Linked DNA regions of Rattus norvegicus. The protein of the gene in region 2 interacts with the protein of the main gene of each other region in a pairwise test. Links are inferred from orthologs where the notes say so. Each region holds a gene or a part of one and is shown on either strand. Other genes may lie near its edges.

Evidence for each region.
Region 1: the proteins of Agtrap (region 2) and Pdhx interact in binary tests that used the Homo sapiens proteins (3 or more experiments, as listed by UniProt). The two-hybrid records come from large-scale screens. The link is inferred for Rattus norvegicus from reciprocal best matches to the Homo sapiens genes AGTRAP and PDHX.
Region 3: the proteins of Agtrap (region 2) and Pbx3 interact in a two-hybrid assay, tested with the Homo sapiens proteins (4 studies listed by BioGRID). The two-hybrid records come from large-scale screens. The link is inferred for Rattus norvegicus from reciprocal best matches to the Homo sapiens genes AGTRAP and PBX3.
Region 4: the proteins of Agtrap (region 2) and Nkg7 interact in binary tests that used the Homo sapiens proteins (3 or more experiments, as listed by UniProt). The two-hybrid records come from large-scale screens. The link is inferred for Rattus norvegicus from reciprocal best matches to the Homo sapiens genes AGTRAP and NKG7.
Region 5: the proteins of Agtrap (region 2) and Tbrg4 interact in binary tests that used the Homo sapiens proteins (3 or more experiments, as listed by UniProt). The two-hybrid records come from large-scale screens. The link is inferred for Rattus norvegicus from reciprocal best matches to the Homo sapiens genes AGTRAP and TBRG4.
Region 6: the proteins of Agtrap (region 2) and Syt16 interact in binary tests that used the Homo sapiens proteins (3 or more experiments, as listed by UniProt). The link is inferred for Rattus norvegicus from reciprocal best matches to the Homo sapiens genes AGTRAP and SYT16.
Region 7: the proteins of Agtrap (region 2) and Ecpas interact in binary tests that used the Homo sapiens proteins (3 or more experiments, as listed by UniProt). The two-hybrid records come from large-scale screens. The link is inferred for Rattus norvegicus from reciprocal best matches to the Homo sapiens genes AGTRAP and ECPAS.

What each region holds. Positions count from the first base shown.
Region 1 is NC_086021.1:109,838,235-109,841,734, forward strand, and holds part of Pdhx (pyruvate dehydrogenase protein X component, mitochondrial), read right to left. Parts: intron 2,193-3,500; coding exon 2,045-2,192; intron 1-2,044.
Region 2 is NC_086023.1:163,792,175-163,795,674, forward strand, and holds part of Agtrap (type-1 angiotensin II receptor-associated protein), read right to left. Parts: intron 3,346-3,500; coding exon 3,240-3,345; intron 2,741-3,239; coding exon 2,545-2,740; intron 1,449-2,544; coding exon 1,330-1,448; 3' UTR 1-1,329. UniProt on the Homo sapiens protein: Appears to be a negative regulator of type-1 angiotensin II receptor-mediated signaling by regulating receptor internalization as well as mechanism of receptor desensitization such as phosphorylation.
Region 3 is NC_086021.1:37,891,396-37,894,895, forward strand, and holds part of Pbx3 (pre-B-cell leukemia transcription factor 3), read right to left. Parts: intron 1,691-3,500; coding exon 1,525-1,690; intron 218-1,524; coding exon 105-217; intron 1-104. UniProt on the Homo sapiens protein: Transcriptional activator that binds the sequence 5'-ATCAATCAA-3'.
Region 4 is NC_086019.1:102,980,050-102,983,064, reverse strand, and holds Nkg7 (protein NKG7), read right to left. Parts: upstream 1,569-3,015; 5' UTR 1,425-1,568; coding exon 1,268-1,424; intron 1,192-1,267; coding exon 1,045-1,191; intron 962-1,044; coding exon 827-961; intron 716-826; coding exon 657-715; 3' UTR 501-656; downstream 1-500. Other genes in the region: Lim2 (lens fiber membrane intrinsic protein), read right to left, coding at 2,984-3,015.
Region 5 is NC_086032.1:85,696,238-85,699,729, forward strand, and holds the end of Tbrg4 (FAST kinase domain-containing protein 4), read right to left. Parts: intron 3,190-3,492; coding exon 3,079-3,189; intron 2,560-3,078; coding exon 2,415-2,559; intron 2,121-2,414; coding exon 1,875-2,120; intron 1,701-1,874; coding exon 1,589-1,700; intron 1,461-1,588; coding exon 1,346-1,460; intron 793-1,345; coding exon 691-792; 3' UTR 501-690; downstream 1-500. UniProt on the Homo sapiens protein: Plays a role in processing of mitochondrial RNA precursors and in stabilization of a subset of mature mitochondrial RNA species, such as MT-CO1, MT-CO2, MT-CYB, MT-CO3, MT-ND3, MT-ND5 and MT-ATP8/6. May play a role in cell cycle progression.
Region 6 is NC_086024.1:98,687,667-98,691,166, forward strand, and holds part of Syt16 (synaptotagmin-16), read left to right. Parts: intron 1-516; coding exon 517-957; intron 958-3,500. UniProt on the Homo sapiens protein: May be involved in the trafficking and exocytosis of secretory vesicles in non-neuronal tissues. Is Ca(2+)-independent.
Region 7 is NC_086023.1:78,403,876-78,407,375, forward strand, and holds part of Ecpas (proteasome adapter and scaffold protein ECM29), read right to left. Parts: intron 2,159-3,500; coding exon 2,053-2,158; intron 212-2,052; coding exon 123-211; intron 1-122. UniProt on the Homo sapiens protein: Adapter/scaffolding protein that binds to the 26S proteasome, motor proteins and other compartment specific proteins. May couple the proteasome to different compartments including endosome, endoplasmic reticulum and centrosome.

The DNA.
Region 1 (3,500 bases), on a different chromosome or scaffold from region 2:
CCCATTCAGAGCCTGCCCCACATGTGGCCCATACATATACAGCCATCCAATTAGACAAGATGGATGAAGCAGGGGCTGGGGATTTAGCTCAGTGGTAGAGCGCTTACCTAGGAAGCACAAGGCCCTGGGTTCGGTCCCCAGCTCCGAAAAAAAGAACCAAAAAAAAAAAAAAAAAAAAAAAAAAAAAAAAGATGGATGAAGCAAAGAAGGGCAGGCTGACAGGAACCAGATGTAGATTTCTCCTGAGAGACACAGCCAGAATACAGCAAATACAGAGGCGAATGCCAGCAGCAAACCACTGAACTGAGAATAGGACCCCCGTTGAAGGAATCAGAGAAAGAACTGGAAGAGCTCAAAGGGGCTCGAGACCCCATATGTACAACAATGCCAACCAACCAGAGCTTCCAGGGACTAAGCCACTACCTAAAGACTATACATGGACTGACCCTGTACTCTGACCTCATAGGTAGCAATGAATATCCTAGTAAGAGCACCAGTGGAGGGGGAAGCCCTGGGTCCTGCTAAGACTGAACCCCCAGTGAACTAGATTGTTGGGGGAAGGGCGGCAATGGGGGGAGGATGGGGAGGGGGAGGGATTAGGGGGATGTTTGCCCGGAAACCGGGAAAGGGAATAACACTCGAAATGTAAATAAGAAATACTCAAGTTAATAAAAAAAAAAAAAAAAAGAAAGAAAGAAAGAAAAAAAAAAAACACTCCATAGAGTACAGGAGGAAGATACATTTCCTAACTTTTCTAGAAGGTCTGAAGACAAACACTGGGAGCACGAAGGAACCCAAGGAAAGAACGGGGAAGGGCAGTATTTCTTACAGGATTACATGCAATTATACATAGTCCAGACCTGCCTGGGACACACCGTTCTGTCCCAGCCTCCTGAGACCACTAACTCAGCATATGTAAAGAATCTTAATGAAATGTTAATAAATTCAAGCAATACATGAAAAAGCTTTGTATGAGGAATATCAGGTTGATTCAACAACTGACATTCAGCCAATGTAATCTGTCATCTTAACCAAAAGAGAAAGAGTATCTCAAAAGATGAAAAAAAAAAAAACTTTTTGACAAAAATTCAGCATCTGTTCACACTTAAAATTCTCAAAATCAGAGAATGGGGATTTCCTCAACCTGAAAAATATCTATAGAAAACTTACAGACTGAATGCTTCTCCCCACTCAAAATCCAGAACACAGAAGGAGCACATATCTACACGTCTGGCATTGACAGTCAGTGCAAAGGCAAGAAAGGCAGAAGGATGGGTAAGGCTGAAACAAGATCTTCCTGCTTACAAAGCCACACCTCTCTGAAACTTTATTTTGAACTGTGTTTGGAGAGACAATTCCATTTAATAATCTGAAAATGTTTTGAATATATGATTAAGTGTGTAAAGAAGAGTGTTATTCAAGTGCTGTCTAGGACATACTTATGATCCATGCACTCTCTAATTAGTTAAGAGCGTTGTTAAGACCTTTGCTTGCCCAGCTATTGCTATCAAAAGGTATTCCAGATAATAAGCATTTAGCCTGAGCATTCATCTGTTCTTTTCAAAACCAACCAAACAACCAACCAACCAACCAACCAACCAACCAACCAACCAGCCAAACAAACAAAGAGAAAACCCAAGCCAAGGGAGAAAAAAATATAAAGCCTACTTTTACTTAGGAAAAAGCACGGGGCCCGTCTGTGACCCACGACTATTGGTAGGTTCTGTGTGTGCAGAGGGTAAATGAGTGTGAACTGAATGGCGGTAGGAACGACACAGAGAAGACACTGGAGTGAGAGGAAGCATGGAAGAACAAAATCCTTGTTGTATATAAAGTAGTGAACTGTGATTAACCCAAGGTTATGCACCCAGTCTATTTCATGTAGGGGAAAAACCATTCTCTCTCCTGTGCTAGAACGAGCCAGAGTAGAGCATAGTCAGGTTATAAAATGAGATTAAAGGCAACACAAGGTGCATTTGACAAAGACGTTCATAACCATCAGATTAGCATGCTTTCTGCAGTAAGTAAATTCAACTTTACTGACCTTTGACCAGATCTCGTCTAACCTTTAAAACTGCTCCAAGGTCACAGTTAGCAGTAGCATAGGCGTGAGGCACAGTACTTTTTGATTCAGTTAACCTCTTAGCAATAACTTTTCGAATATTGCTGGCAGGAATTTCAGTGAATGTACCCTGAAAAAAAAAAAAAGAGGCAATTTGTCTGTTAAAACATAAAGCATAAATGGAAAAACATATAAAACCACTACCTATCTGAAATCCAATCTATGAAACCTAGTAATTATATAAAAGATTAATTTGAGAAAAGCACTAATAAAATTCTTTATGCAAAGGGAGAATATAAGAAATCTGGTTTGAGTTTACACAACTATAGAAAAAATAGCAAAATTTAAATTTTGGCTCTGAATGAGACATTTCATATTAGCATGTTTAAGGTAACTAAAAGGAAACTAGCCTATCATCACTATATACATATATACTGTGTGTACCCAGCACATATACACAGGCATGTTGAGTATGGAAGAAACGTTTTACTATGTACATATGTAAAATGCACATATGATCATGTGCAGGTATGATGATGACGAAAGCACAGAAAGAAGTACCTAGCTCTCCATTCAGACAGCCTGCAAGCTATTTTTGCTGCAAATTCGGACTACAGGCAAGTCTTAGAAAGACTGCATAGTGTTCAAAAAGGCAACATACTACACAGGGATAATCAATGACTGTGCATTTCTGTGATTTAAAAAAAATCATGAATAGCTTATTTGCTAGGAATTCAAAGTTCAAACTATGAGATAAGAAAAATCTTCCTTTCATTTTAATATAAAATTTTTTGTAAAGGCATGGACATATAATTACACTTAATACTGTTCTCATATTTTATTCTATTCTTGGACGGAATCACATTCACCAAAGGATAATAAAAGAAAAAAAAACCCTATAATTTATTTTTCCTCTGACAAATGATATTTGAAGGACATTTCTGTTAGCAAAACGTTCTGATTGCATGGAACAGCTGCTCTCTATATGCTGGGAGCATTTGAAAGGTTTATCATCCTCCTACTTTGATTAATCCTCTACAGCCTACTTTAAGGAAGATTTGGCACACCAATTTTATGTAGACAGTATACTCTTAAATGGTCATAAGAAATGCTGCCTGGGAGACTCTTAGTTCCCAGTCCTTTGCAAGCATAATGAATAATCTTCTCTATTAATGGAAGCAGTGTACGTTTATTTCCCTTATTTTAACAACACACAGGGAAGAAAAGTGGGTTAAGCAGAAGAACAAAACAGCTGGAATACAGCCATCTCTGAGGAAGAAAGTGCACCACGTATGGTAAATTCTAAATAGCTCTTAATTCCTCTAACAACAAACAAATACACCCATAAAAAGGGGCTGTGGATTCTTCTTGCAGCCAAGGAAAAGTGCCATGATTACAGCACACGTACATGTGGTAAAATGAAGCCAAATCACCATCC
Region 2 (3,500 bases):
CTCCCAAGTGCTGGCATTAACCACCCACCAGGCACGTTTTTAATATTCTGGGTTTGTTTTTACATTTATCTGTTTGTGGTGTGTTTGTATGTGTGTGTAAAACCTCAAACCATGACAAAGAGTGTGGAGGTCAGAGGATAACTTTCGCAAGTCGGTTCCAAGGACCAAACACACATCGTGACGCTCAGTAGAAGACTCCTTTACCTGCGGCTGAGCCTCTAAGCCTCTGAGTCTCTGGGCCCCAGCTCTTGTTTACACTGTGCTGCACTCAGCCTAAACAAATCACAGCTACCGCTCCTCACTCTGCTCACACTGGGCTCAGTGTGGATGCCAACCAGGTCTGGGTTAGGTGCTGATTGCATGGGATTGTGTTTGACGCAGCAGATGGACGCAGTGACCCCACCAATGATGCTGTCACTCAGCCTCCCGGCCTGTCTCGTGTGCAGAGAGTGCTTTCAGGACTCTCACCTCAGCCTGCGGCTCCCCATAAGTCTTCAAGTATCTGTCCCCAGACGTCTGCCGGTGAGTAAGAGTGGGAGCGCTGGCACCTCAGGAGGCAGTCGACTGTGGTCAGAACGCAGAGGCTAGAGGAAGCCACCCATGCCCTGCCTCATGGTTCAGGATCAGAGGCAGTGAAATTAGTCACTTAGAATCAGAGGATAGATGTCTGTCTACATGCCACACCGACCAGCACTTCCTCTGCCACCCCATTTGGCTGATATAATGGGTGGCTGAAACTATGTTCCACCTGCAACTGAGTCTAGGGCGAAGTCACACCCAGACGGCAGGGTGGGTCCCAGCTCGGAGCACAAACATGGCTGGAACCTAGTGCAGGCCCAGAGGCCCTGCATTTTAATGTCAGGGCTCCTCTGCAGACAGACCTACTGCATCTGGGCCTGGGGTTCTCAGGCACTGTCATGAGGCACTGAGAGGCACAGGGACTTGGCTCCTGTGCAGAACAGGCTGAGCAGGACCACAAGCTCACAGAGCTTCCAGAAGGGCTGGGTCACCTTGGGGTAGCCTGAGAGGCAGTGATCATTGGCCCATAAGGCCTGGATGGCCCTGAACACTCTGCACAGCTCGGCGGTTGTGTGTTATAGTGATGGGGAGGAGGGGAAGAAACCAACCACAGTTCTAGCCCAGGGGTTAACAGGTGTCTTGAATGGAGGGGCAGCATGGAGAATTAGGACTGGGCTCTTCTCAGCTGGGACCTCCGAGGGCACATGACTCAGGCCACCTCTGTGGCAGGGAATGGAGGATACCCCATTGTAGGTCCAGTAAAGAAGGTGACAAGCATCCTGCTGGGCCCCAGGACGGCCAGGGACAGCTTCAGTACCCCCGGGGGGCAGCTTGGCCCTTGTTCTCCAGGCTTGCAAGGGGGTCTGCAGGTGAGTCTGACGAGTCAATTGTCTGGTAGGCACTATGTTCCTGAGAAGGTCCGAAGAAATCTAGAGGACAGGGAACAAGTGGATAGAGAAAATGAGACCATGGGGCCTTCTGCTAAGCACAGACAGATCCACCATCTGCCATGGCTAGTGTTTGGCATCATGATACCAAGGACAATGGGCAGTGGCAGAAGCCCAGACACCAGGCCTTTACCAAGCAGCGTCCACTCAAGCCTAGCATCGGTATGGGTGGCTCTGCAGATGAGAGAAATGCGAGGGTCAGAGAGACCGGCTGATTTAAGACCCTGTGGCATGAAGCAGATGACACTGGGGTCCAACCTAAACAGCAGCTCCTGTGGTCAATGGCTACTGTGTCACATCTGCCCCGGAAGCACACGCTCAGGTACCTGAGGAGGGGGTCAGTCCTGAGCCCACAGACTTTCTTCCTGCTGTCTGCCAGGCGCTAGGACCCATATAAATCACCATTTCTAGAAGCCACAGGGCCTGACACAGTTGCTGTACCCAGAAGGCTGGGGCTGAGAGTACAGAGCAGGACAGAAGGCACCTGTGTCTCTCACATTTCTCCCTCTGTATATTTGCCCTGAGACCATGGACAAGTCCCAGGAGCAGTGGACCTTCCTTCTCCTGTCTGATCCCTTCACACCCGGGCAGGTCTAGGTGAGCACAGAGATAAACCAGAATGGGCAGCCGTAGGCCACTCTGGCACTGGCTCAGCACTCTCTCATGGGATCCTCAGGTCACCTGGAGACCACACCCAGCTCCCACAGGAGAGCAGGGTCAGAGAGGGCAGGAAAATGGCTTGGCCCGCCACCAAAGAGGACAGCGTGGGCTGAGCCAGAGTCTAGAAGGCTGGTACACAGGGCTCCCTGGCCTGCCTGCTCAGAAAGGGTACGCCCCACATGGCAGGAGCGCACACCTCCAGAGGCAGGGCTGGGTGGAAACAGGAGGAAGGAGTTGTCCCCACAGCCATCTGCAGCCCCGCAGCAGAGGCTCCTTGCTGCCACAGCGAGCTGAGCAACTCCACGCCTCCACTTGTACTCTGGACTGAGGGAGGGCCACCAAGTCTGCCTGACAACAGGAAGAAGTCACACCAGACTGGTGGCTGGGCCGGGGGCAGGCGGGGTGGAGTGGGACTTACCCGAGCGGAGCGGGAGCTCACCCCCTCGCTCCCGGTGCATGTGGTAGACGAGGCAGCAGGAGAAGGGCTTCAGCAGCAAGCTGAAGATGGCCATGCCGGCACTGAAGCGGCCAGTGTCCCCAACGGCAACGCTTGAGTAGAAGATGCTAATGTAGATAATGTCCAGGAAGATGGTGGCAACCAAGCCACCAAGAAACTGCAAGGAACACCATCACAGGATCACGGACACTGACACCCAACCAGACCCCAAGTTTCCCTCACACACACCAGGCTGGTGACCGGCATCTTGTGACTGACACCTGCATGGTCTAGGAGCATGGACACAAGAGTCTGGCTCTAACCTGTTGCCCCATAATTCCCCACCCCCATCTCCTGCCATTGAGATCATGAGGGGCCTATCTCCAGAATTTCTGAGAGGGACACTTCCTTGGAGCCCATAACATCTGGTCTCGCTGCAAGAAAACAAGGGAAACAAACCCCTTTGTAATTCTCCTAAGGAGACACTGGGGTTCTGTGACCTCCCCCCATGTCTGTCTTGGGGGGACAACAGCAGAGGTGGGTCGCTGTGTAGCTGGCCTGGCTAGGCTTGCCGTGTGCAGGGCTTTAGAACAGAAAAAGATGGGGTGTGAGGAAGAGAGAAGACTGGGGCAGATGAGGGGCCCACGGATGGAGCCACCTCCCCACCGCCAACTCACCATGCCAATGGCATCAACAGAGTCCCGCTGGGCCACAGCCCACACACCCAGGGCCAGGATAGTGAAGTTGCCCCAAGCATAGGAGCCTGAGAACGCCAAGCAGCCCCTGCATAGAGAGACACTATCAGTCACCGCTTTGAGCTGCCCACCCCTCCCAGTTCCTTCCCCTGCTCCAGGGTCTTAGCCACAGGTCTTCTGTGTCACTCCTGCCCCCTGCAGGCAGTTCTTGAAATAGCAAGCAGTGTGTGAATCTGACCATGT
Region 3 (3,500 bases), on a different chromosome or scaffold from region 2:
AGGTGCTGCATAGATGTGCAGACCACTTTCACGGGTCAGAGCGGGGAGTTTTGAACCCAAACCCTACCCTGCCAGAAAGGCCCCAGCTGGGGCATTTCTCCTACCTGTGACTGCACATTGGCTCCGACTTGGGACCCTTGGTAAGAATCCCCATTCAGACTCTGCATGTTCATGAACATGTCCCCAGAATTTGGGAGGTTAAAAGAACCAGAAGAACCTGGAAAGGAAAGAGTTAAGTAGCTGAATAACAGAGAGCTACATACACAATCCCCAAAGACCTCGAGGTAGGGAAAGGAAAAGAGGCAGAAGGGAGAGGCATTTCCAGCTTTAGAAGGACAGAACGTTAACTCAGCTCTAGAAGGTCCTGCTACTCACACTATACACAGGAAGAACATTATAGAGGGTGAACCCAAGTGAAAAACCAGAAACGAATCAAAATAGGCAGAAAGCACCCAGGAGCTGGCCCCAGCCTTCTCCTTGTTTCCATTTCTCTCCAGACTTAATCAAACAAGCTCTTCAATGTTCAGTGTCATGGTGGAGAACTACCTGGAGAAGACACTTTCCTGACACTTTCTCCTAGATATAACTCTATGTTTCCACTCACCAGTGTCTGTGGCCCAGTAGAAATGATGGGGGTATAATAAAACAGACAACCTTCCCTGGACCTTTAAATGTATATTTTAAAATCTCCCTAGAAAGCATCCGAGGCCCTCCAACTCTTCTACTAGGGTTAGCTGCACCTTCCGCTGCCAGCCAAGTTCCCTGTAATTTAAAGACATTCTTCAAACTCCATGAATGCCACATAAAATTTAAATGGAATGTTCTGTGTAAGGAGTCAAAAATAGTGCATTTATAGCCAGCTGTGGTGGCACACACATGCAATCCCACCTAGTCAGCTGAGGCAGAGGAATCACAAGTTTGAGGGCAGACAGCTACAAAGTGAGTTCAAGGCTTTTTTGGACAACTTAGTAAGACTATCTTTAAAAAATAATGGCTAGTCATAAACTTTGCATATGCAAAGCCCCGGGTTTAAGCCCCACTACCACAAAAAACAAAAACAAAACAAAAAAATCATTCCTTTATATGCAAGTTCAGCAAGTCACCTGGCACAGACAGGCTGCGACCTAGAGCCTGAAGCCAAGAGCACAGGAAGCACAGCAACGTCCCAACCCAGCATTCAGCTTCCCTACCAACCAGTACATACCTGCTGCTTCAGTCTGACAGACCACCAATGACCCTAAGGTGATAGGCGGAACATTATATGATAGAACTTTGCGTATCTGCTGAATTAAAGGCCATGGCTGAGTATAAAGGTTCTAGCATCTACAGGAGCGAGTGGCATTCGCTGTGAACAGTGGGTTTCCCAGCACAGGCTGGCCCCTTATCTACCCATCTCCAGAACAAGCCTATAAGCGAATACAAATCTCTCCTGAAAGGCCCACTGTGCACCCAGTGAGGCTGAAGCTTCAGAGCCTGTGGCAGATGCCTGTCTGGCTGCGTAGGGAGTGCGCATGCCATACTCACCAGAGTTTGGCGTGGTGGGTGAGTTGGTCTGGTTGTTCTGCACGGCTGCGGCCACTGCGTGTGCGGCTGTCACGGCTGTTTTTGCAGCATAGAGATTGGCCTCCTCTTGAAATTTGCCGATGTTCTTCTTGTACCTGATTCGTTTGTTGCCAAACCAGTTGGATACCTATCAAGGACAGGACATGAAATAGGAAGGGTAGAGAAGTCACAAAGAAAAAGCCAAACTTCCTGTCCTTGCTATGGGATAACGAGAAGCTCTGGGTAACACAGTGCCCTGTCTGCCACTTTGCACCACATAAGTAGTGCATAATGATTTTAGGGGTTCACTTTCCACTTTGGCATAGTCTTTTGAACAATGCTTCTTGGAGTTGGCCATGGGAACACTAAAATGGCTGGGAGTACTGCTCATCAAAACACCCAATTGTTATGTGCGCATCAAGCATAGCAATCAGACTACTAAAAAAGCTGAAAAGCTACAGGAGGCATTTGTTAAATTGGGTATTAAGAAGCACACTTGAAAAGAATGACTCATTGTTCTTTTGTGGGCCTGAAACAATCCTGGCACCTATATAGTAGTATCATGTTTGGTCTGCTGAAGAGGGACATCAATTAATAATGGATGAACAATCCCTTTGTCTCCTGCCTTGGAAGACACTGCACGTCTGCCAAGATGGCTGCTCAGGCTCTGCCAGTGACTGTGGGAAGCCTCAACCTGAAAACTCAAGCCAGCTCAGTAAGGTCAAAAGCAAATGCAGAGGAATGGCTGATTCCATAAGGTAGAATAGAGGTTTGGGTTTTTTCCTTTTTTCTTTTTTTCTAAACTGCTTGTGATGTCAGCCAGTACAAATGTGAAAGAAGATGTTGGCAGAAGGCTGATTTCATTGCAACTCATAGACAGCAAAGGGAGAGCCCAACACTTAGTGCTCAGGTTCGCACTACTCACACGTCCCCAGTTACCTGTAGTTGAGCTGTGTAAAGAAGCTAAAAGTTGTAGAGCGGTGTGTCAGAAGGTATGCCCGATGCAGTATCCTGAGAGCTTGCCCCTCTTTTGTTAAAGTAACAATTTAAAAACATTCCCAGGAACTGCCTACCAGTCTAGCAGAGGAACCACTGGTGTGGTTTCAGAGTGACTGTTCTACCCTAGGTATTATCTGTAAAGGCTCCTCGGGGGCCCTGAGCAGAGAAAAGGAATGGGATGCAGTTCAGAGCCCTCCAACCCAATTTTCTACAGTGGGCAGCCCCGCTGGCCACCTCTGCCAAGTCTTTAATTGCTTTGGAAATGGTGCTCTCATTCTTCAACTGATGGCACTCACCCTCCTGGAGAAGGCTAGAAAGCTCTGGCAGGGGATCCCTGAGAGAAAAACAGCACTGGCCTTACTGTTGCCCATATGCTGCCATCAGAGCACTGAGTACACACACGTGCACATAAATACACATGAGCACACTTGAGAGGACCCGTGCTGCAGCACAGGTTCCTTGGAAAGATGGAAAAACCCACCCAAAACCAAGGTGGTTGCCCAGGCCACTCAGCTATCCTCAGGCAAGGCTTAGCCTCTCAGCAATGCCAGCAGCCATCCTTCCCAGAGCTCATTCTTCCCGTGGACCCTCCGCATTTTATTCCAACACCTCACCTCACCTCCCTTCTCCTCTCCTCTCCTCTCCCTCCCCCACCCACGTGTGTGTGTGTGTGTGTGTGTGTGTGTGTGTGTGTGTGTGTGTGTTTGCATGTCCTCCAAGGCTCACTTCTTGGTCCTTTTCTCTTTCTCCCTATCACACCTTCAGTGATTCTATGTGGGTGTCTCTGAGGTTTCTCTTTCTATCCCTAGCTTTATAAAGAATGTTAGATCCCAATGTTTAGATTCCCATAGGACTTGCCATAACCTCCAGCATATTTGGGTTAAGTGGAAGGGCAGGTGCTTCTCCTCTCTCTCTGTGCTTCTACAATCCACACCTCCAGAGCTATGGTGTTCACAGCA
Region 4 (3,015 bases), on a different chromosome or scaffold from region 2:
GCCTGTGACAAAGGCTGGTGGTTAAGAGAGCTTGGGTGTGGTGCATATCAATGTCCCCAGAGTGGACCCACAGAGAAGGGTGGTCATTTGGGGAAGAAAAGAGAAAGATAGAAATCAGGAGAAAGAAAGACACTAAAGACAAGAGGGAGATTATGTCCACACAGGGCAAAAATAAGCTGCAGGTAGGTAGGTCTGCATGGTTCTAACCCTCCTTGAGAGCTCAGGCTCACGTATGGTTGACTTAGGTGCTGGGGATGCAACTTGGACTTCATTCATGCTCAGCAAATCTCTACAACTGAGCCATAACCCAAGCTCTCTTTTTAGTTTTGCACCTTGAGGCAGGGTCTCACTCTGGTGCCCTAGTGCCTTAGCCAGCCTCGAACTCACTATGTTGCCCAGGCAGTCTTTGAAGTTGTGATGCTCCTTTCTCCAGCCACCTGAGTAACTGGGGTGAGAAGCCTGGCTAGGTCTAGGTCTTGGCTAAACTGATCTTGGAACAATTAGATCTCGGCATGCTTTTATTGAGTGTGTGAAGAAAGCAATTGAGGGATAAGGCAAGGTGGGAGGGACAGAAACAGAATTCTGCCTTCCTTTTATAGCTTCTGAGAGGACAAGGCTCCAAACATCCTGCTGACCCTGATGTCCTTGGCTTCTGTTCACAAGGTTTCGTACTCAGTCCGACGGGTTCTACAGTGAGCACCCAGGCTCAGGCAGCCTGGTGTGGAGACAGAGGGGGGGATGGGAGGTTAAGTACTTGAGTGCCCTGCACTTCCCTGCCCCAGCCCTCATCATGGTCCTCCCCCAGGGAAGAGGCTAGAGTAGTCACCTGCACAGAGGAAAGGGATGGCGGAGCCCCAGCCTAGGTAGAAGGACCAGGAGAAGAATGTCTGGACCTGGGGAGATGGAGGCTGGCTCCATCTCTCGCTGGTGTACACTGCCATGGCCACTATGATGGAGAGAGCTGGGGACAAGAACAAGAGACAGCTGAGCTGGTTTGTATTCACCAGCCCAGGTGTCCCAGTGCAGCCCAGATCCTATTCATACCTGCAGCAAAAGACAAGACAGTTGAGACCATAGGGCCACGGCCAGGAGCAGACAGGGATGGGATACAAGACAGAACCAGGAAGCTCACGGATACCAGGCCCCACAGGGCAGCCAGGATACAGCAGACCTGTGTCACGTGGATATAACCTAATGCGAGACGATGATTCTGGGTGTCCATTCCCACTAGCCATACCCACCGCCAAAGAGCCCATCGCCCCTTTACCTGCTACTTGAGTCCCTGGGCTTGTTGGCCAGAGGCCAGAGTGGGCAGAGAAGTTGGGGCCGGTGGCCACTATCCAGAAGTCAGTGCTCAGAGCAATCAGTGAAAAAATCAGGCCCAGACAGCCAGCAAGCAGGGCCAGGGACCGGTAGGGCTCCATGGACACAGCTCTGGGTTTCCACTTCTTAGGGGACAAAGACACAGATGACCCAGAGTGTTGGCTCTTAGAAAAAGGAAAAGGCCATGCACCTGGACTTCTAGTCCACTGGGCCAGAGAAACAGCCAGCAAGCAGTGACTTTGTCAGAGAATCCTCTGTAGCCTTAGGCCTGGTGTCTGGTCAGATTCTTCTCACACTCCCTTCCTGAGTGGCTTCCCTTCCCCTCTCGGATTGGCTCCTCTCCTGTGTGGTGGGGGAGGGCCCTGCTGAAGTCTTTACTTGCTGGCTGCTCTGGGGGTGTCTACCCTCGTGGTCTAGGTAGTGGTTTAGACTATTGTCACAGGTTCTCCACAGTTGGAGACAACTGATTTCCTGGAAGCTCTTAGGGAGGGACTTGGAGGGGGTGGGCAGAGGTGGGAGGTGGGCTAATCATACTAGGGTATGAATTAACTGAAAGGAGAGATGTGGCTGAGGAGACGGTTGTGTCACACTTTCCTGTGGTTTTTGCACTCCTAGACTCTAGCATTAGAGTTTACAACAGTAAAGGGGCAGTGGGGTCAAAACACCAGCCCCATAGGAAGAAGGACTTGAGTAAGTGTGAGCAGAGACTCCACATTCCTAGTCAAAGCTTCTGTTCAGGACAGACAGGATTCCAAAAGGCTTGAGGAGGAAAAGACCTTCCTACATTCTCATCTAACAGATATAGTGAGAAGTCACACCACCTCGGTTGGACCCTCCAGCATAGGTGTCTTAGCACCAAGATGAGGGTGAGAAGTGGAAGACAAAGTGTCACTTGGGGGCCTCTGCGTCATGTCCTCCAGTAGTGGGAAACACCTCAACAGGCAAGTGCAAAATGTTTCCACCATCTCTTGATGTGACAGCATAGGTCTGCCTCCCCAACACTCAGGAGGTCTGAGGCTGGAGGATAATGAGTTTAAGGATAGCTTGGGCTACATGAGACCCTGACTTTCCAAAAAATAGGTAAAATAAAATAGAGAGGGGATAGAGCTGTGTGTTGTCTCTAGTGAGGGGGCCTATCCAGGGATCAGAGGAGAGATAAATTGCCTGGAGCATAGGTGGGTGAAGAGCAGGTAAGCTTTGTTCATCCTATAATCCCACACATCCTTTTCTAGACATTAAACCATGGCTATCTCCTAGGTAAGGACCCATTTATCTTGTTCCCACCCCTGTATAACGGAGGGATGAGGCTACCATATCAGAACACACTGTTCCCCACCCCAGCCTGCTTTTCTCTAAATCAACCCTTAACGACTCACACTTTGATAGTTTCACATCAGTTTTATTAGATTCCCAAATCACTCTCTAAAGGAGTTTCTGTTTTCTACCACCCCTCAGTGCAGGTGGAGGCTTATGTCTTCGTCTCAGTTCCCTCCCACTTGACCCTACTTTTCCTCCCCACACAGGACAGAGGGGTCAGGGGCTAGAATACAGGACTGAGCCCCCTCATTCCCTCAGGAACCAGGACTTCCGGCCTCTAGGTCCTCCCCTTCCTCTTCAATGTCCTCGTTGTAACTTCCGGCTGCAAGTTTCGCCCCAGGGCTCAGCGTGGGGTGGATAGGCGCCGGCACTCAT
Region 5 (3,492 bases), on a different chromosome or scaffold from region 2:
AGGACCCAGGGCTCCACTGGAAGGGCGGTCTCGGAGTAGGCTGTGGTAGTCCTGAGAGTGACAGTCTGGCCAAGGATCTTGTTTTCAGCCAAGTGGACTTTACTCTTGTCCCAGAACTAGGGTCTTCCAAATGCCTTCACAGCACCTGTTCCCTTCAGATACTCTCTTAGTGACATGGTAAGGGAGGGAACCTTGCAGGACAGTAACTGCAACTCTGCTATACACTCAAGTACACACACTTCCTGGGAAGCCCAAGTGTCTAGGACCCTACCCATTTAAGGCCTAGGTTTTCTGTCTCTCAAGTCCCCCCTCTGCTGTGCCACACCAGCCTATTATTGGGGAAGTGGAGGAGGAGAGTACACTCGGTAGAATCCTGGAGAGCCAGGGAAGTGGAGGTGTGTGTGTGTGTGTGTGTGTGTGTGTGTGTGTGTGTGTGTGTGTGTGTCCAAAATAAGGGAACGAGGAGACAGATACTACAGAGCCTGGGAAGAGACCCGGCATCCACCAAAACAAGTGATTTATTAGGACCGCCTGCCCTGGGAGCTGCTGAGCACCCCCTACTGTGGCCAAGGTCCTACAGAGAGTTCATCTCGCTGATGGGTGACAACTCTGGCCGGCCCAGCACTCACTGCTGGGTCTGGGTCCCTGAGCCCTCAGGTCTTGAGATGCAGTCTGAACAGATGGGAAAGGTCACTTGGCCAGCTCCTCAGCCACTGCTTTTCGCATCTTGTCCTTGAGGTAGGCGGTTTTCTGCCATTCAGACTTCAAATCCAGCCACTCATAATATGGGACCTGGAAGAAGGTAGTACAGACAGTCACATGGACTGTGGAATCCTTTCCCGCCTTTACATGTCCAGGGGCCCCTCCCACTCTGACAGAGCTGTTGACTGACAGCTTTAAACACCCAGGTCTTGGCCTCAAAGTCCTCAGGAAGAGTGCAGAGTGTAAGGCTATGCACATGGAAAGATGCTGGCTGGCAGGGCAAAGAGATTGCAAACCAGATAGGTCCCAGCAAGGCTACTGAAGAAAATGTGGCAAAGCTATGAAGTTTCTCTTTGCAGGAGACTCAACACGGCACATGTGATCTGAAGCCACACATAGCCACACAGCAGCACAGTTACAGGTCCAAGCCCTAGCTCTAATGGCAGAGCAAGGGATCCCGTGGCTGTACTGAACTTTCAGTGTGATGTGCTCACAGGAGGCAAGCTAAGCTTTTGTGTGCGTAGAGTGGGGTGGGGTAGGGGAGAGGTGCCTAGCTTAGGCCTGAGAGCTGAGTATCCACCCATATCCTTCTAGCTCTAGGGGCTTCTCCCTCTGCAGTGACCCTTGTTCTCCAGGTACTCACATCCACCACTAGGAAGCCTGCAGCCAGCACATGTCGACGGGCCAGGACAAAACGCCCCAACAAGTCCTTGCTTCTGCTGTTGAAGTTGGGGAACTCCCAGCGTAGGAAAGCGATTCTAGCAGGAGACAAGGGTACTTATAAAGCGCGTTCCCGGACTAAGGCCGAGGAGTTAAAAGGCATTTAAGAACAGCAGTGCTGCTGAATCCCTTCCGAGGGCATGACCAGGGATCTCTGGCCACATACCTTTTAGCTCCCGGGGGTAGTGGCTGGTTCCCAACTGGCTGGGCAAGGTGAGGAGCAACAAAATCTCTCAGGGGCAGGAAGTGGCCCTCAGCATCCAGCAGCACCTCTGCATCTGCAGGGGAACAGGATGAGCCTGGAGGTGAGGCCTCAGACACCCCACAGTGTACCCACAAGCAGGCATTAGAGGGAGGTACCCGCTGTTCTCTGTGCTGCTTCTTGCTATACCATGCAGGGTTACAAAGGGCCTGTTAGACTAGACCCTCTCCCAGCGGAAGGGAGCCCTTACCCAGCACCCAGCCATACTGTGTGGCCACCTCCAGGCTGCCTGTGTCATTGTTCCCCAGCAGTGCCTTCAGTGCGTCTTGCAGCTCCTTCTGTAGGGGTGTCATCTTCTTGTTGGAGGGTGAGGGACTGGGGGCTACAGCTGAGGCTGGCAGGAAAGGGCCTTTATATTCAGGGTACTCCAGCAGGGCAGTGCTGTTGATGTGGACCAATTTCTGGAAGGTACTCTGGTCCTTTGGAGACTTGCTCTCTGGGGGAGGAGAGAAGGTAGGCTGATGTACAGTACTGGGTACAGAAAGGGGGACCACAAGACATAGAGTAGCATTGGGAGCTCCCACCCCGTCTTAGGCTGGTGTCCCACAGTTAAGCTTGTAGGCCAACTGCAGGGAGTGGTCGGAAAAAAAAAAATCACAAATCACGAGGCTGTGCTTTGTGTGCTCTGCCCTCTGTCTCTGCTCTAGTGTCTTCCCTGGCTGGTAGAGCAGAAGGCCTCCATGTTCCATGGGAGTGCATGCCCATGCTGTGTGCAGGAGAGCAGTCTCACCTAGAAAGCGTGTGTGGAGCCCAGGATGGAGAACTGTTTGCAGCTCTGCTACCTGCACTTGCTGTAGCACACACAGGGCCCACACCAGGTCCACCTGCAGGGCTGGCTCCAGGCTCCCCAGCACGGAGTCCAGCTTCTCATGCACCTGAGCAAGGAGCACAGAGAAGAAAGCAGGGTCAGCCAGCGACCACAACACCCTAGGAAAGTCTGAAGCCAACCTGTGTTCTTGACCTGCCATACTGGAGCGAGGGACAGCTACTGGAAAGCAAGACCAAAGTCCTGACTTGGTAAAGCCCACACCAACCCAGGCTGAGGTATAGGAATCTTCCTCAAGCCCGGAGCTGTTTGTTTAGCTATTTCACTCACACCCTGCCCACGAGCAGGGACCCAAGGTCTCAAATCCCTCGTGATAGTCCCTAGTGGGCACTGTGATGAAGGAAGAATGTCTGGGCAGGTCACCTAGGTGTCCACATAGCTGCTGCCCCTGGCTGGCTGCCCTCAAAATCACCCCAGGCAATGTCCCAGTAGTTTGCATGTTCTCCAGTGGTCTCTGGGATGCTGCCTATTTCTCCAAGTCAAATGTTGTGCCCACTCCCAACCCCCACTCTAGGCAGTAGCCCGAGCCCTAAGTCAGTGTGTCAGAAGCAGTGTTTGGTGCTCGTACCAAGTTGAAAAACTGATCCTCTTGTTCAGGATGAAAGTTCAGCCGGGCAAAGGCAAGAAGAACGCTGCACAGATGGGACAGGGAGACATCCTGAGCGCTGTTCAGGAGGTGCTAAGACATTAGAGGGACAAAGTAAGGGCCCAGCAGCCATTTTCTCCCTGTCTAGAGCTCAAAACTGTTCACCCAGTAGCAGCTTCAGAGTTCAACTCCCTGACAGTGGCTTTAGAAATTGTCTGCTGGCCACAGGACATGCGCACACAGGCATCATGTACTCATACAATTCTACTCAGAGTGGTCAGTAGTCGGAAATACAGGGGTGTCTCCCCACTTGCTATGGCTGCTCCTTGGGAGGTCCAGAACTGACCAAGGCAGATGTGGATGCTCAGAGCCAACCATCAGACTGAGCTCAGGGAT
Region 6 (3,500 bases), on a different chromosome or scaffold from region 2:
GAATCCTTGAGTGACTCAGGTGGCTGTTAGGATGGAGAAGCTCAGCCATTAGTCTTTTCTCCCAGGAAATTTGGGACTTTTGCCTGTAGGAAAGTTCTGATTTAGTGGACAACAGGTCCAGGCTCAGCAATTACTCCTTGGGACTCAAAAGTTGCCCGTTGGCATTTACATAGTTGATAGTTGGCTTAATTAGGGACTTCGTGTTGATTTCAATCATAGTGGGCAATTGTACTTTGCACGAGGTAGTACATATTACTGCATTTTCAAAGATGCAGGTGCTTCATTTATTCACTTAGAAAAATTCTCAAAAGCTTACCCGGAACCAGACACTGTGCCCTCCAAGAACTCAGTCTGTTGGAGAGAACTTTTAAACAGACCTTCCTAACACCGAAGAAGGTCATATGTTGTCAGTCAGGAAGCTTGGGAGCCAAGAAAGCACCAAGGGGCAGCAACCTGTCACTGTGTAATAAGTCACTGTCATTTCCAGTTCTAACCTTTCCCCTCTGCTTGTAACAGGAGCAGGATGGGACCAGTCTGCAGGTACCACCAAGGCTTCCGGAGCCTATCTCAAAATGTGGGGACCTCGATGTCATCTTTGAATATAGAGCTGTAACCCAGAAGCTTACCGTGACCATTGTGAGAGCACAGGGTCTCCCAGATAAGGACCGAAGTGGTGTCAACTCCTGGCAAGTTCACATAGTGCTACTGCCCAGTAAGAAACAGAGGGGTAAGACGAATATACAGAGAGGGCCCAACCCTGTCTTCAAGGAAAAGGTCACCTTCACCAAGCTGGAGCCCAGAGATGTGGCTGCCTGTGCTGTCCGCTTCCGCCTGTATGCTGCCCGGAAGATGACCCGAGAGAGAATGATGGGAGAGAAGCTGTTCTGTCTTAGCCACTTGCACCCAGAAGGGGAAATGAAAGTGACTCTAGTTCTGGAGCCCAGAAGTAATCTGAGCGTGAGTAGATTAAACGGTGCTGCTAATGATGCGGTGTGTTCAAAGACCTGGGATTGTCAGCCCTTGATTTACAACATTCGGCTTGTGAATCCATAGACGTTAATTCAATTTTCCATTTGGCTCTCCTCATCCTTATAAGCCACGGTTTGCACCTCATGGGCAGTGGGTCTTTCAAGCCCGCCATCCTGATATGTTGATGGATGCGTCTTCCACCCATTTTAGGAAATGACAGTGGCAGTGTGGGGGAGGGGATGGCAAGACCTGGGGAGGTGGCTGGGCTTTTGACTTAGTAGATAAGCATCCAAAGGCCTTCTGTCCCCACCCAGTATGCATTATGATGAGTCTTAGACATGGTACTTCAGTTGTTTTCTTGAAACAAGAATCTCACTACGTAGCCCAGTTTGGCTTAAGCTCATCCTGTAACCCAGGATGCCCTCCAACACACGATCCCCTTGCCTCAGCTTCCCAAGGGCAGGAATTGCAGGTGGGTATTTCTGAACTTTCAGGGTAAGTCTCTTACTTAGTGAGGGTTCAGAAACATCCTGTATTAGCAACCCTGAATGCCTGCCACATCTGAGACCTTCCAGTTTTATGGTTACCTTTTTTTTTTAAACTATGCATCTTACTCCTCTTCCTGGCCCAGGACTTGCAGAGCTTGGAGGTCTAAGAGGTGGCCAGCCTCACCACTGCTGTAGATCATCTATCACGTTAGACAAAGATCTCCTTTTACGAACATATATCAAAAGATCAGACAGCTCCTGGGTTAGTCAACCAATTGGCCATCCATTGGAGATGTAGCCCGTCATGGGCTGTAGAGGCCAAGCAAGCAGACAGCTATTATTCCACAGACTTGTGGAGAGGACTGTTGTTGGTAAAGCTCCAGGGGCTGCAGATTACTGAGAATGACCAAGAGAAGGTTTATTGAGATGACGAAGGAAAAAAAAACCCATCTAGCTCAAGCCATAGAGAGAACTAGACTGGGGACATGTGTGGGCGGATATTCATGCCAAAGGGAGGGCACACACAGCCATGGAGGAGAACAAAGATATATTCCAAAAAGATCCATCCATCTGAAGTTCCAATTCTGCCTGAACATCTTCACACTGGAAATCCTGATTTTTGCCTCTCTGAATCGATGCCACCCGCTGTCTTCCCAGACCTGCTTGCTGGCAAGCTCATCTTTCCGGTCGCTAGCTCCAAAATTGTAGAACTCACCCATGACCTTGCTTTCCCAGCTGAAAGCTGTGAATTCTCTTTAGATAGAAGCAAAACACGGCTCTCTGGTGGGCTGGTGGAATAGTCCCCTGCTGGCGGCCTCTAAGCTTCTGCTGTTTTCTGACACAAGGGTTAGAATGAGCTCAAGAAGGCACAAGCCCATATCTACGTAAATTCTTCCTTTTCATAAAATCATGAAATCATAAAGAACAGAATTCAGAGACGAGTCAAAAAGAGACCCTGTGGTGTGAAGCATAAGAGTGAATGTGGCCACACCCTTTCTTGTCAGTGCCAGCCCTGGGCTCTGTGCTGAGGGCACAGGCCGAATGGGGAGAAAAAGCCAGCCTGAAAAAATGTTAGTGGAGGAAAATATCTCAGTTATCAGCTACTGTTGAGTATGATTGTATACCATATGTACATCTATGTTACAGGGACTAAGTGATGGCTACAGATAAAGAACTTGGTAGTGGGAGGTAACTGTACTTAGAGAGGGACCTCAGTAGAAGTTTCTATAGAAATATAAGGATGTGTGGCCTTTCTCCCAAGGATGCAAATTTTTCATTGGTGGGTTTCTAACTTCTGGGCATCAAAGCCTCTAAGGGCCCTGTTGAGACCACTAGCTATTTTTCTTACAAATCATGGATCCGTGAAAGCTGGGGGGAGGGAGGGCTGGGTAAAAGGATACATTCCCTTGTATATGAGCAGCATTTGATTCATTTTATTGTTTTTGCTCATTGGGGTGTTGGCAAAAGTTTCAGAAAATAATTTCAGATACAGTCAAGAAGGATTTAAGGTAAATTCCATGTGCTGGTGTCCACTAGAAGTAGTAGTGTGTGGGAGGGCTAGAGGGACTGCTGGCATGTTCCCGCCAAGCTGACGATGCCCACTCGGGATCCTCCATGAGAATCTGTGTCTTCCTCTCCTCTGTCCTCTTCTGAATGTGCCCGGAGCATAACGGTGTCACTCAGAAGTGAGTACATGAATAAACATGAGAAAAGGTCTGGGCATTCTCCTCAGCTTACCTGCTGCCTCCCGGGTCACCAAGATCCACAATCTTTGTACCTGATCCTCTATCAACTATCAAATAGTGAAGTGCTCACTTCCTGTATAATCTTTTTTCCACAGGAGGTCAAATTTCCTATGTGAACCATGCTTCTTAGGCAGCAGAACCAGACACTAGGTGTTTTATGTACTGACCAGTGCCTGGTGGTCATTTCTTTTATCTTTGAGACAAAACACCTTCTGTATTGCCTTATTCATCAAGAGCGCAGAAAACAGAGACAAAACTCGGGCCTGAAGTGGGTAGGTTCACAGAAACATTCAGAAAC
Region 7 (3,500 bases), about 85 Mb from region 2:
GAGGGTGCAGCTCAGTGGTAGAGTGGCCGCATGAGGGACTGTGCCTGATCATAAACACCAAGAACAAAATAAACAACAGCCACAACAACAACAAATCACTCAAGTTCTTGTTACTTGCTCACCTAAAGAATACGTAATTGACTGACAAGTTTCAAGAAGAATCTCAGCCAGAGCTTCAGGATCTGCATGCTCTTCTTCCAGAAGCATTAACCTGTAAGTGTGAAAGTGATGTATAATGCGACTCTTAACCATTTAAATCCTGCCTAACATAACTTCTATCTGTACATGACATCTTACCATGTTATCTGAGACACTTGTAATAGCTAAACTGATCATAAGAATGTGTATATTTACACATTGGAGTCTTACTCAGCTGTTTAAAAAAAATGACATCATGAAGTTTGAAGGCAAATGGATGAAATTAGGAAATCATTCTGAATAAGGTAGCCTATATCCAAAAAGATAAATTTTATATATACTCATTTATAAGTGGATATTAACCATTAAGTAAATGATAACCAAGCTACAATCCATAGACTCAGAGAGGTTAGGTAAAGAGAAGTCTGAGGAGATGCATGGATCTCCCTGGGAGGGGAAAATTGGATTTACAGGCAGATTGGGAGAGAATAAGGATGGGAGCAGGCAGGGAAAGGCAAGGTGTGGGGGAGATAGAGGAAAATATGGGGAGAAATGGCTGAAACCGGTAGGCATTCATACGGTGATGTAAAAACCTAGTGCAGTGGAAACCTGGAATTTATGGAGGTGATCGTAATGAGGACTCCTAGTAATGGGATAGAGTCTCAGCTGGTCATCTCTTGTTGCCAGGCAAGGATCCCAGTAGCAGGACTGGGTTGTATTCAATTGAGCTGTTGGTCAAGGGGATCCCATGGAAATCCCCAAACTACCCAAGTTGCTGTTAAGACAAAGGGTGGCTCTCTGCAAACTAAAATCAGGGCCCCAATGCAGAGGACAACATCCACACAACTCATTAACATGGTGAAGATGAGCTGGTGCCTACATGAAGCCTTCACCCTTACGTTCTTGTCTCTTTGGTGTGGGAAGGTACACAGCAATCTACCAAAATAGAAATGTCAACAACCTAGCCATAAAACGTTTGATCTAAAATCTGTCCTCCCTGCAAAATATGTTAGGGCAATGGTGGCACAGAACTTGTGGGAGAATCCATCCAATGTCTGATTTGACTTATGTATCACTCCATAAGAAGGAACCCATATCCAACACTGCTTGGGTAACCAAGAACAAAGAGACTAGATAGCCCAGAGACCTAGCATAAAACCAAACACTACTGGTCTAAGAAGAAAATAAAAAGTATCAAAGTATCAATAGTATGACTCCTAGTGATATTTTGTTATACTCATGGATCAGTGCCTTATCTAGTCATCAACAGAGAGGCTTCCACCAGAAGCAGATGGGAACAGATGCAGAGACCCACAGCCAGACAATGTGGGGAAAGAGTCTAAATGGGAGGTCTCCATCAAATCCCTCCCCTTAGAGCTCAGGAAATTCCTAGGAAGCAGAGGTAGAAAAACTGTTAAGAGCAAGAAGGGAGGAGGACACCAACTTCAAGTAAGAGCCATATGAGCTCACGGAGACTGGAACACTAAGCACAGGGCTTTATGGCTCTACAGCTTGTCCACTGCGTATAGTTTACAGTTACTAGCTTAAAATTCTATGGGGTTCCTGACTAGGAGAGCGAGTGGCTCTCTGACTCTTGTGATGGCTCCTGGGACTCTTTTCTTCCCACTGGGTTGCTGTGATGGTTTTTGTTTCATCTTATTGTATTTTATTTTGTCATGTTTGGTTGTTATCTCTTAGAAGCCTAAAGAGAGCTTTATGGGAGACATAAACGGAGTGGATAAGAGGAGAGGGAAAGTGGGGAGAAACGGGGAGGAGTAGAAGGAGAATAAACTATAATTAGGATATACTGTATGAGAAAAGAATCTTTTCTGTTTTGAAAGAAGAATGTGTAAAGGTTAAGGAATCCATTCAATAGGGAGATAAAATAAAAACCTGAATCATGAAGCACATTACCCCTGAAAAAAGGCGTTCATTGACTGGAGGACACCTAGTTGCACTTTCCATGTGCTGAGTCTTAGCCGCTCACACATCAGTTTGCACATCTCCTGACGATAACAACCTAGGCAGATGACCAAGTGGGAAAGAGGAAGAAATATGTAAGATAACAAAGGATGGAGAAAAAAACAGAAAGTAGCATTAGACAAAGACTAAAGTGGAGTAATGTGAGGGCAATTTAACTAAAGACATGGAATTTTCCCTAAGCCATTAACATTAACACACACACACACACACACACACACACACACACACGAATGTATTCTAATGATTTGATCTTAAGGCATTTTGCCCTCCATAAAATAGAGACAATAGCTTAGCTACACTCCCCTTCCCTTGTAAATTCCCTTAATAAAACCAAAAGGTCTGGAACCCTTAAGTACCCTTAAATACTCTTCCAACTGTGGGTTTATCAATGGTCAGTTGTCTTTTATCGTAAGCTAGTCTGATCACAATTGTCACCATCATTATACAATTAATATACTGATAGGAGAATAAACTCAACAAAAATAAAAAATAGAAGTTGATTTTAAATGCTTTGAACAGGGCTTTCCAAACTTCGGTCACTTCAACATGTCAGGCCACATTCATAGCTACCCTGCTGGCACACGGCCAAAGGGCAGGTCATAAATTGGATATCTACTATAAAATTTAATAAGGTTAAAATATAAAACATGAGAGGAAGGGGTAAAAATTCTACCCCTATCGGCTTGTAATTTGTTTCTCTAATTTAAAAAGACAAAACCCAGGAATTCCCGCTGACACTATGAAGTGTGAGAAGCTCGTATGCAACGCTGACATTCTTAGAGAACACCCTTGGCTCTACTCAGTGTCTGGTAAACTAACGTACATTTTCCATGTCTTGTGTTAAAACTCTTCGCGTGGAATGCTATCTTTCCTATGGAATTCCCTTTTTCAACTTTCTCTGGCTATTAAGCAACAGTCATTCATGCTAATGGTATCAAGCAATCCAACTTCTACTATAATCCATAATACTACTCACAAAGTGATAGTTTCTTTAGGAAATTCTTCATATGTTAAACAAAGAATGATAGGCTCAAAGAAAATGTTATGCCTGAGTTTACAAATAATTAACACAAAGACTGTCATTGGGACAGAGTATAGTTCCCAGAACAAGACAAACTTAAATAGCACCTGTTTAAATGTAATGGCCTTGTCAATAGGTTGTAACTATAACTTGAACTAATAATCATGGCTTACTATTCAATTTTCTGTAAATATATGTTTAATTCTGAAAATCTCTGTCATGAGTTTCTCAATAAAACAGCTATCACTTGCTTACTGAAGACATGACGGCAAGGCAGGCGACTTTAGAAGGAAGGAACTCTTAATATTTATTGTGAGTTTATCAGAGAATAGCTACGAATTCAAAGTTAACAAAACTT